Linked DNA regions of Astyanax mexicanus. The protein of the gene in region 1 interacts with the protein of each later gene in a pairwise test. Links are inferred from orthologs where the notes say so. Each region holds a gene or a part of one and is shown in the gene's direction. Other genes may lie near its edges. The genes, in order: tns2a and shfl.

The links.
Region 2: the proteins of tns2a (region 1) and shfl interact in binary tests that used the Homo sapiens proteins (3 or more experiments, as listed by UniProt). The link is inferred for Astyanax mexicanus from reciprocal best matches to the Homo sapiens genes TNS2 and SHFL.

The regions. Positions count from the first base shown.
Region 1 is NC_064420.1:27,588,088-27,592,017, forward strand, and holds the start of tns2a (tensin-2), read left to right. Parts: upstream 1-1,115; 5' UTR 1,116-1,197; coding exon 1,198-1,317; intron 1,318-3,930. UniProt on the Homo sapiens protein: Tyrosine-protein phosphatase which regulates cell motility, proliferation and muscle-response to insulin. Phosphatase activity is mediated by binding to phosphatidylinositol-3,4,5-triphosphate (PtdIns(3,4,5)P3) via the SH2 domain.
Region 2 is NC_064410.1:4,704,402-4,708,331, forward strand, and holds the start of shfl (shiftless antiviral inhibitor of ribosomal frameshifting protein homolog), read left to right. Parts: upstream 1-1,039; 5' UTR 1,040-1,198; coding exon 1,199-1,225; intron 1,226-3,606; coding exon 3,607-3,742; intron 3,743-3,930.

The DNA.
Region 1 (3,930 bases):
AACTAACTAAAACGAACTGAAATTACTGATAGAATACCCTCATTTTTGTGTTTAATTTATTTATAAGCGCTGTTGTACAGCCGAGTTGTACAGCGGGAGTTGTTGTGCCGAGCGCGCGGCACGCATGGTCCGTTAGTTCTTGTGTAAAGCGCTCGCGCTAGCAAGCCCACCCTAAAATGAACAGAAAAAATAAAAACAAAATAAAATTAAACTATAATAAAAATGAAAACTGTAATCACGTAGCTCTGGGGGCACGTGAACGCCTCCGCGTTTGACTTGCAGCATTGTGTGTAGCTGTTCTTAAAAATCATTTAAATTAAATAATAGTTCTATGCTTCTATGTTACAGTGTTAATTAACATAATTCTGATTATATTTCGCTCATTCAATCAGCCCGAAAACAGACAGTTTATGGGGCGGATCGGGTCAGGCTCATAATGGCAGTTTATGGTTCGGGCTTGGGCAGAATGTGCACGGGCTCCGGCTGGGTCTTTGGGCATGATCTAAGCTCTATTCTCTTTTGGTGAAGCTGTTATATTAATACCATTTTAACGGGCATTAAATTGTTGTTTTTGTCCATTATTTTGTTTTATATATACATATTTCTTTTGAGTGTGGCTTGGTTTGTTAAATTTCATCCCCAGGCGCGTTTTTCCGCTTTTTTCAGTATTACAAGTTTTAGTAATTTTCTTTGGTTGTGTGGAGAATTTCGTTTTATTTTTTTGAAATTCGTTAGATTATATTTTTGTCAACATTTTGGGTTTATTTTCGTTTGTTATTTTTTGTTATTTTTCTAATAATAATAGTAAATGCATAATTGATTTCCTTTTTTTGACGGGCGAATAATAAAAAGTAATGCGATAGTTACTTTTACTGGTAACTAATTACTTTTATAGTGGAGTAACTCCGTTAGTAACTCAGTTACTTTTTTGGAGAAGTAACGAGTAACTATAACTAATTACTTTTTCAAAGTAACGTGCCCAACACTGTCAACAGGGCAGTGAGAGCTGAGAGTGAGTGTGGTGGTGTGTGTGTGTGTGTACTTGTCTGAATGAGAGCCAGGAGAAGGGGAAGGGCCTCAAGTCAGCCGACAAAAACAGCTGCTCTAGTGTGCTCGGGAAAACACGGGCAGAGCGCGAGAGGACGAGAGGGGAAACGGGAAAGGGAAGGGGGGGACCTGCAGGGTCCACGGTTCTATATGGGTTGCGCTCTGGGTACGGACTGTTTCGGGGACGAGCCCGAGCCAGAACCAGAACCGATCAGAGGCACTCTGAGGAGGGAGAGGACAGACAGCAGGAGCAACATGAGGCTCACCAAGGTGAGTTTCTGCAGCAGCTGCAGTGTACTGATGTATGGATGTATGGATGTAGTGTGTGTTGGTTGGCAATTTAAAGTTTTTAATTTTATTAAAACACTACTCAACTTTTTAAAGGACCATTTAGGATTGTATTTCAGGATGTGCCATCAGATATTAAGGATACATGAGTTTAACTGTAGAGTTAAAGCACCTACAGCTCAAGTCAGCAGAGCTTCAGCCAGTATTTTCTTATTAGAACTGTGTGGAACATAACAGAAATCTCTGTGGAAAAGTTTCCAGCCTCCAATTCGGCCCACTGTCATTTACACACACAGTGTTGGCAGGTATGGAACACAGCCTGTGCATGTGTGTGTGTGTGAGAGAGAGAGAGTATATGTATGTATGTGTGATGGTCCAGTCCCTCCCTCAGTCCAGAGGATGCTCACACATGGTGAAGAGTTTGGGAATGTTGAGTCCTCTGGATGATACATCACAGAAATCTATGTGGGATGTAGCCTATTAATCTGACCACCAACATTCCCCCATTCCCAGTTCCACACACAGGTTTGCCATGTATAGAACAACAGCAGCAAGCAAACAGTGGTTCTGGCTATTTTTCTGCTAAACAGGTTATCACTGAGCTTCATTAAGGTTCGCTAACCATAGCTGGGCATTTTGGACACTGAAATGTATATATTTACTGATTACTTTGTGTCAATCTGGCAACCTGACTCCTGTATCTGTTTCACATATATCACTAGCATTTATACTGACTGTTCCTTTAAAGAAAGTTGTCCGAGGCCTGTTCTAAATGTCTCAGTCGCAATAGTTGCAACAGTTGAGTATTGTTCTATTTTGGGGTTTTTGGGTTCGGTTGAGGCATGAGTCAATTCACAGAGATGTCCTCATACAGATTACATTTCATAAGTCCAGAGCAGAGTTTTAGATGTTCTCCATCTTTAGTGGAGCATTCGTTTTCATTACCGATGCATTGTTCCAGTGTTTTCTGGTATTTGTGAACTTTTAAGCCCTGCAGAAATAGCTTTTGAATTATTCCCCATATGTCTACAATGTGTACAGTTTGTGGACGTGGTTCTGTTAGGATGTTGATGTAGTAAGGAATGATGTTGTTATGGAGTGGGAATAATGGAAGCAGAGTGTGTGTGTGTGTGTGTGTGAGAGAGAGAGAGAGAGAGGGAGAGAGTATATATTCATGTTTGATGGTTCAGTCCCCAGAGGATGCTCACATGGTGCAGAGTGTGGGAATGTTGGGGCCTCTGGATGATGTCACAAAATTGTTGTTAACTTTTGATGCAGGCCTGGGAATTGGACTTAAATTCGTGTGTGTGTGTGTGTGTGTGAACCCAAAACGTCTAAACACTGAAACTGATTGGGTCATGATGTAATGCACTGTTGCGATCTGTTTTCAATGCCCACTCCAAAGTAATTTGGAATAATGTGGATCACAGGTGGGAGATATGATGATACTGTATGTTAACATTATTGTGATGAAATGTGTCACAACTATTTTATTTTATTGATGTGTTATAAAGCAGTTACAGTTTAAGCTTCTCAAAAAAAATCGGCACTTGGCTTGGTTGCACATTCCAGAAGTTTCTTTTTTTCTTTCTTTTTTTTTTTTTTTTACAATTTATCATGCAGCTGCAGTATTCAACATATTTTTTATGACAACATCTTTGGTTACTTTGCATTAGAACTTATATATAGTACAGAAGGTCTGTTGACAGTACTATATTACAACCACAGTGATAATAAACATACAAAAATGAGTAGTATAATATGTTTAGATAAAGATAAAAGTTAAAAGTTTGGATGTTGTGAAGCTCCATATAATTTATATCCCCTGCCCTCCAAAGAAAAGGAGTTTCATCTATGGTTGAATTCACTGATGATACATTTCAATTAAACTCAGATGTTAGAATTTCTATGTTTTAAGTCAGAAATTTTGGTAACAATTTATTTGGATGGTCCTTTATAGCTGCCTCGCAGATGCTCAACTAACATTTAACAAAGTAGCTATAACTAGAAAATCCTATGGTTAACAGTGTTAACAATAAACTTACATCACTGTACACTGTAAAAAATAAAACCGTAAAAAAAAACGGTCAAATTACTGGCAGCAGCGGCTGCCAAACAAAAACCCTAAAATTAAAGTAAAATACTTTCATTCATATGCAGTGCAAAACCAGTAGATTCACATGCATTTTCATTAAAGGTTTCACATACATACACCAGTATTTTACAGTTTTTCAGAGCATATTTACAATTAAATTTCTTCAATAAAGCGATTTCAATCAATGTTCTGCAGGGAAAAAATGTTATTTTACCTTTTTTTTAACTAACTTTATTGTCTTTCAGGTTGTGAGCTTTATGATTCACAAATTAATGTGTATTTGACTCATTCAGTGACATTCAGTGACAAACTGTATGATCTTTTCAGAATTTCTTTATTAACAGGCTCTCTGCTCATTTAAAGCAATAAAAAGTGCTCAGAGAGTAAAACCACTTATATTAGCACAGTCTAAAACCCAGCCAGGTGGATAAAACTGCTATGAAACTACATCATGGTGAGCCCTCTAAACTGAACATCTAATTAACATAGCCACGCCCCAC
Region 2 (3,930 bases), on another chromosome or scaffold:
GTGCAGTCTACTGCAGTCTACTGTCTGTAATGCTGTAATTCCGCTGAGAATCCGCGTTTAGACCTGCAGTTATACTGGTTTCTGCAGTGTCTGTAGTTTGTTGTGTATCAGGTTGCTGCCCTCCGCCTACAGGTCAGCAGGACGCTGGTCAGAAACCTGAGCGTTGGGGCAGATCGCGCAGTGGCGCACAGCACTATGGGAAATGTAGTTTTTTTTATTATTAGAATTTTTTTTATCGTGCGTTTCCTTATGTTCTTTATGATTCCGAAGGCAGGAGCTCAAAAACATAATTCCATAAATGAATAAATTAAACTGAAAATCAAGCGATTTTATAACGATTTAAAACATACGAATTTCTCAAGAACTGGATGTTAATGGAAAAAATAAAATAAAAACTAAAAAAGCTTAGATATTTGACTAATTTTTAAATATATATTGTTTTATTATTATTATTAATTTTTTAATTACACTGACAATGACGCACCACAATAAGGTCTAAACAAATGCTAAAAATGATGACAACTGTATCGTACGCGATAATATCGCCAACATGTTTGGAATATCGTGAAAATATAGTTTTGTTTTTTTGCTATTTTTTAGCAAAAGAAAAAAATACACTGGTCTTATTATTTCCCATTTTATATCTACTAGAGATCACTTGGTATCATTTATTTATTTTATTTTTAATCCTGGATATATGGAGATATTTAGTGGGAATTAACGAATTAATTAGTATCATGACATTCTGGATTATTGACTTCTGTTGCAAATCTGATGTGTGCACAGCACCATGGGAAATGTAGTTTTTTATTTATTATATATATTTTTTCTCTTTTTTTTTTTTAGAAATCGTGCGCTTCCTTAAGAGGTTTGGAGGGGATTTCGTGAGAGAAGGAGCTCGAAAACACACTAAATTACACAGGAAACACAGCTTAATTTCACAAATTATTAAATTAAATTATTCAATTAAACTGAAAATTAAGCGCTTTTTACACGATTTAAAGCGAAAAAATGAGAGTTGCGTTGTGTCGCTCAGTCTCTGGCTCCACCTAGCGGCGGTTTCCGGAAAGCGCTCCCGATATGAAACTGAAAGTAGAGCGGAGTCTGAGTACAAACAAATCCTCACCGCAGTGTTTCGGCGTCTGGGCGCGTTCGTGGGCGAGTTGCTGGTGTGGAGGGACTTTAACGCGCTGGGGAAATGAGCCGCTTCAGCGAGGAGGTGGAGGTAGGCTGATTTAATCGCTGCAGGACCCGCAGGCCGCGCTGTAACGCACAGCTAACTAAACTAAACTACCTGCTGGGAAACTGAAGTAAATACAGGGTTTATCTGCGGGGGTTTAGCGGGGTTTTACAGGTACAGGTTTAGGTAACGTTAACTGTGAAGAGTGTGAACACTTTATACATCATTTCTCTTTATTAGAAATGTCTGCACAGCTGCAGTGTGTGTGACTGTGTGTGTTAGAGGTTTAATAGTTCATTTCCTTCTCTAAACATATGTTATAGTAATGTGTGGGCCTGTTAGTTCCTGTTACTCCTTCTGTTTACTTACAGCTAGGTTAGTTTTAAAGCATCTACAGCTCTAGAAAAAAAAATCACATCTGTTTCTGAATCAGATTTTCTGTTTTTGCTATCTATAGGTTTATGTTTGATTAAAATGAACTTTGTTGTTTTATTCTATAAACTACAGACAACATTTCTCCCAAATTCCAAATAAAATATTGTCATTTAGAGCATTTATTTGCACAGATATAATCTGTCTCTAGTATATATATAATGGGAAATGAGAACAGTGTGAATTTTTCTTTTGCTAAAAACAGAAAAAGTAGTACCATGATGTGATAATTAGAAGTGGGTGATATGGAACGATATTTCAGGGTATAATATTGTTCACCCTATTCAAAAATGTTGGTGATATTATTATTGTGAATGAAGCGATATGCCACACCCCTGACCAGAATGTTCAAAAGTATCATCAAAAGTTTCACACATCTTGTGGAATCCACTCCATCAAGAATTTGAATTGTTTTGAGAGCAAGATGTGGCCATATATAATATTTTTGTTTAACTTATAATCTTGTCAACCCATTAAGACATATTTTTCATTATGCCAATCATAATTTGTTTAAACTAATCAGAGCTGATAAGAAAAGAGTTCAGTGGGCGAACTAGGGTTGCAACGGTATGAGATTTTCACGGTATGATAACCGTCTCAGAAAATACCGCGGTATCACGGTTATCACGGTATCACAGTTTCTTACATATATTATTAAACTGACCCTTAAAGAAATTACAACAAAGGTTTTTTGTTCAATTAACTATTTATTGTAGAAACCTGGAACAACTATTTAGATAATGTCTCCTTAAAAAAAATAAGCTGTACACCATTAGGTGAAGGAAACCAGGTTTTTCCACTACTCTTAAGGGCATTAAGGGTGTATAAAAAAAAAAAATAATAATAATAATAAAATATATATATATATATATATATATATATATATATATATATATATATATATATATATATATATATACACACACACACACACACACACACACATATGTCACACATTACATGTCCTCTAAGAAGTAAAGATCCTGTGTTTACACTATTCAGTACAATTATTTAAGTTTAAATTATTTAATATCTGATAAACTGAGCCTGGGTCAGTGTCTGATCAACAACTGTTGTAAACATCCGTTTTAATGCCAAGTTGGTATATAACCACATACTGCAGAAAGAGGGGATTTATTTCTGACATGATCCTCACAATAGAGATTTCTATTTCAAGGCTTTCACACAGAGTCTGGTTTTAACATATGAAAAACAGGCACGTCAGAATTTGAAAATGAACGCATGTAAATGAATGGCGTCTTTCACATCCAGTCCGGCCAGGACCTTTACACGGACACGTGAATCCACCGTAGCACGCACTCCACACCTGTACCTGCGTACCCAAATTTCGGATAACTCAGCGCTTTTGCGGGCGCTTACCGCATGGGTTGTGCACGACTACAAAGAGGTTTTATTTATGTTCAGATTAAAATTATAAACTAAACACATACTTTGCGCTGCACGGCGGGGTGGTGTTCTTGGAGATGGGAGAACAGGTTTGACGTATGTCCACCTTTAGCTGTGACTTTACGGCCACATTGATTACAAATCAGATAACCATCCTCGGGTGTGTTCGGCGGGTCTCTGAAATAGTCCCACACTGCTGATTTTAGTTTAGCCTTTTTTTAGGCGGACAGAGATTTGTTTAGTCTGATGCACTTTCTGCTGTTCTCACCGCTGTGTGCTGAGCAGCTGAAGCGGAGCAGAGTTGCGCATGCGCGGGTGAGTTTCTCCGCTGGCTTGCGTTTTACCGGTAATAAGCAAACTCACACGGTTTGATAACCGCGCATTTTAATACCATGGTATACCGTGAAACCGGTTACCGCTGCAACCCTAGGGCGAACTGCTGATTATTGGATGACAGATTCGTAATAGTTTGTTACCTTTGCTCCTAAACGTTGTTTATTAGGTCTATTGCATGTGTGTACTGTTAAGTGTTTGTTGTTCTGCACGGCCATGTGAAAAAGTGCTTTGCTCTGTTCTGCTGACTACAGCTGGAAATGAGCGTCCGTCGGCTGAGGGAGAATTTCCACGGGAAGATTCCAGTGGACAAGGCGACTGTACTCATGCGGCGCTACAGGAACAACCACCGGATGGTTGCAATGGAGATCATCCTTATGAAAGACAGAGGTAAAGGGAGGGGAAGGGGGTGTCCAGCCATCAACATTCTGTAGGCAGCGCCCTGTGGGCAGCATCCTGCGGGCAGCATCCTGTGGGCAGCATCCAGCGGGCACTGAGAAAAGACTATAGAAGGAGATTCAGAGCTTCTGTCTCTGACTTTACTTTATCTACAAGGTGGAGCAGATACTATAGGTAGG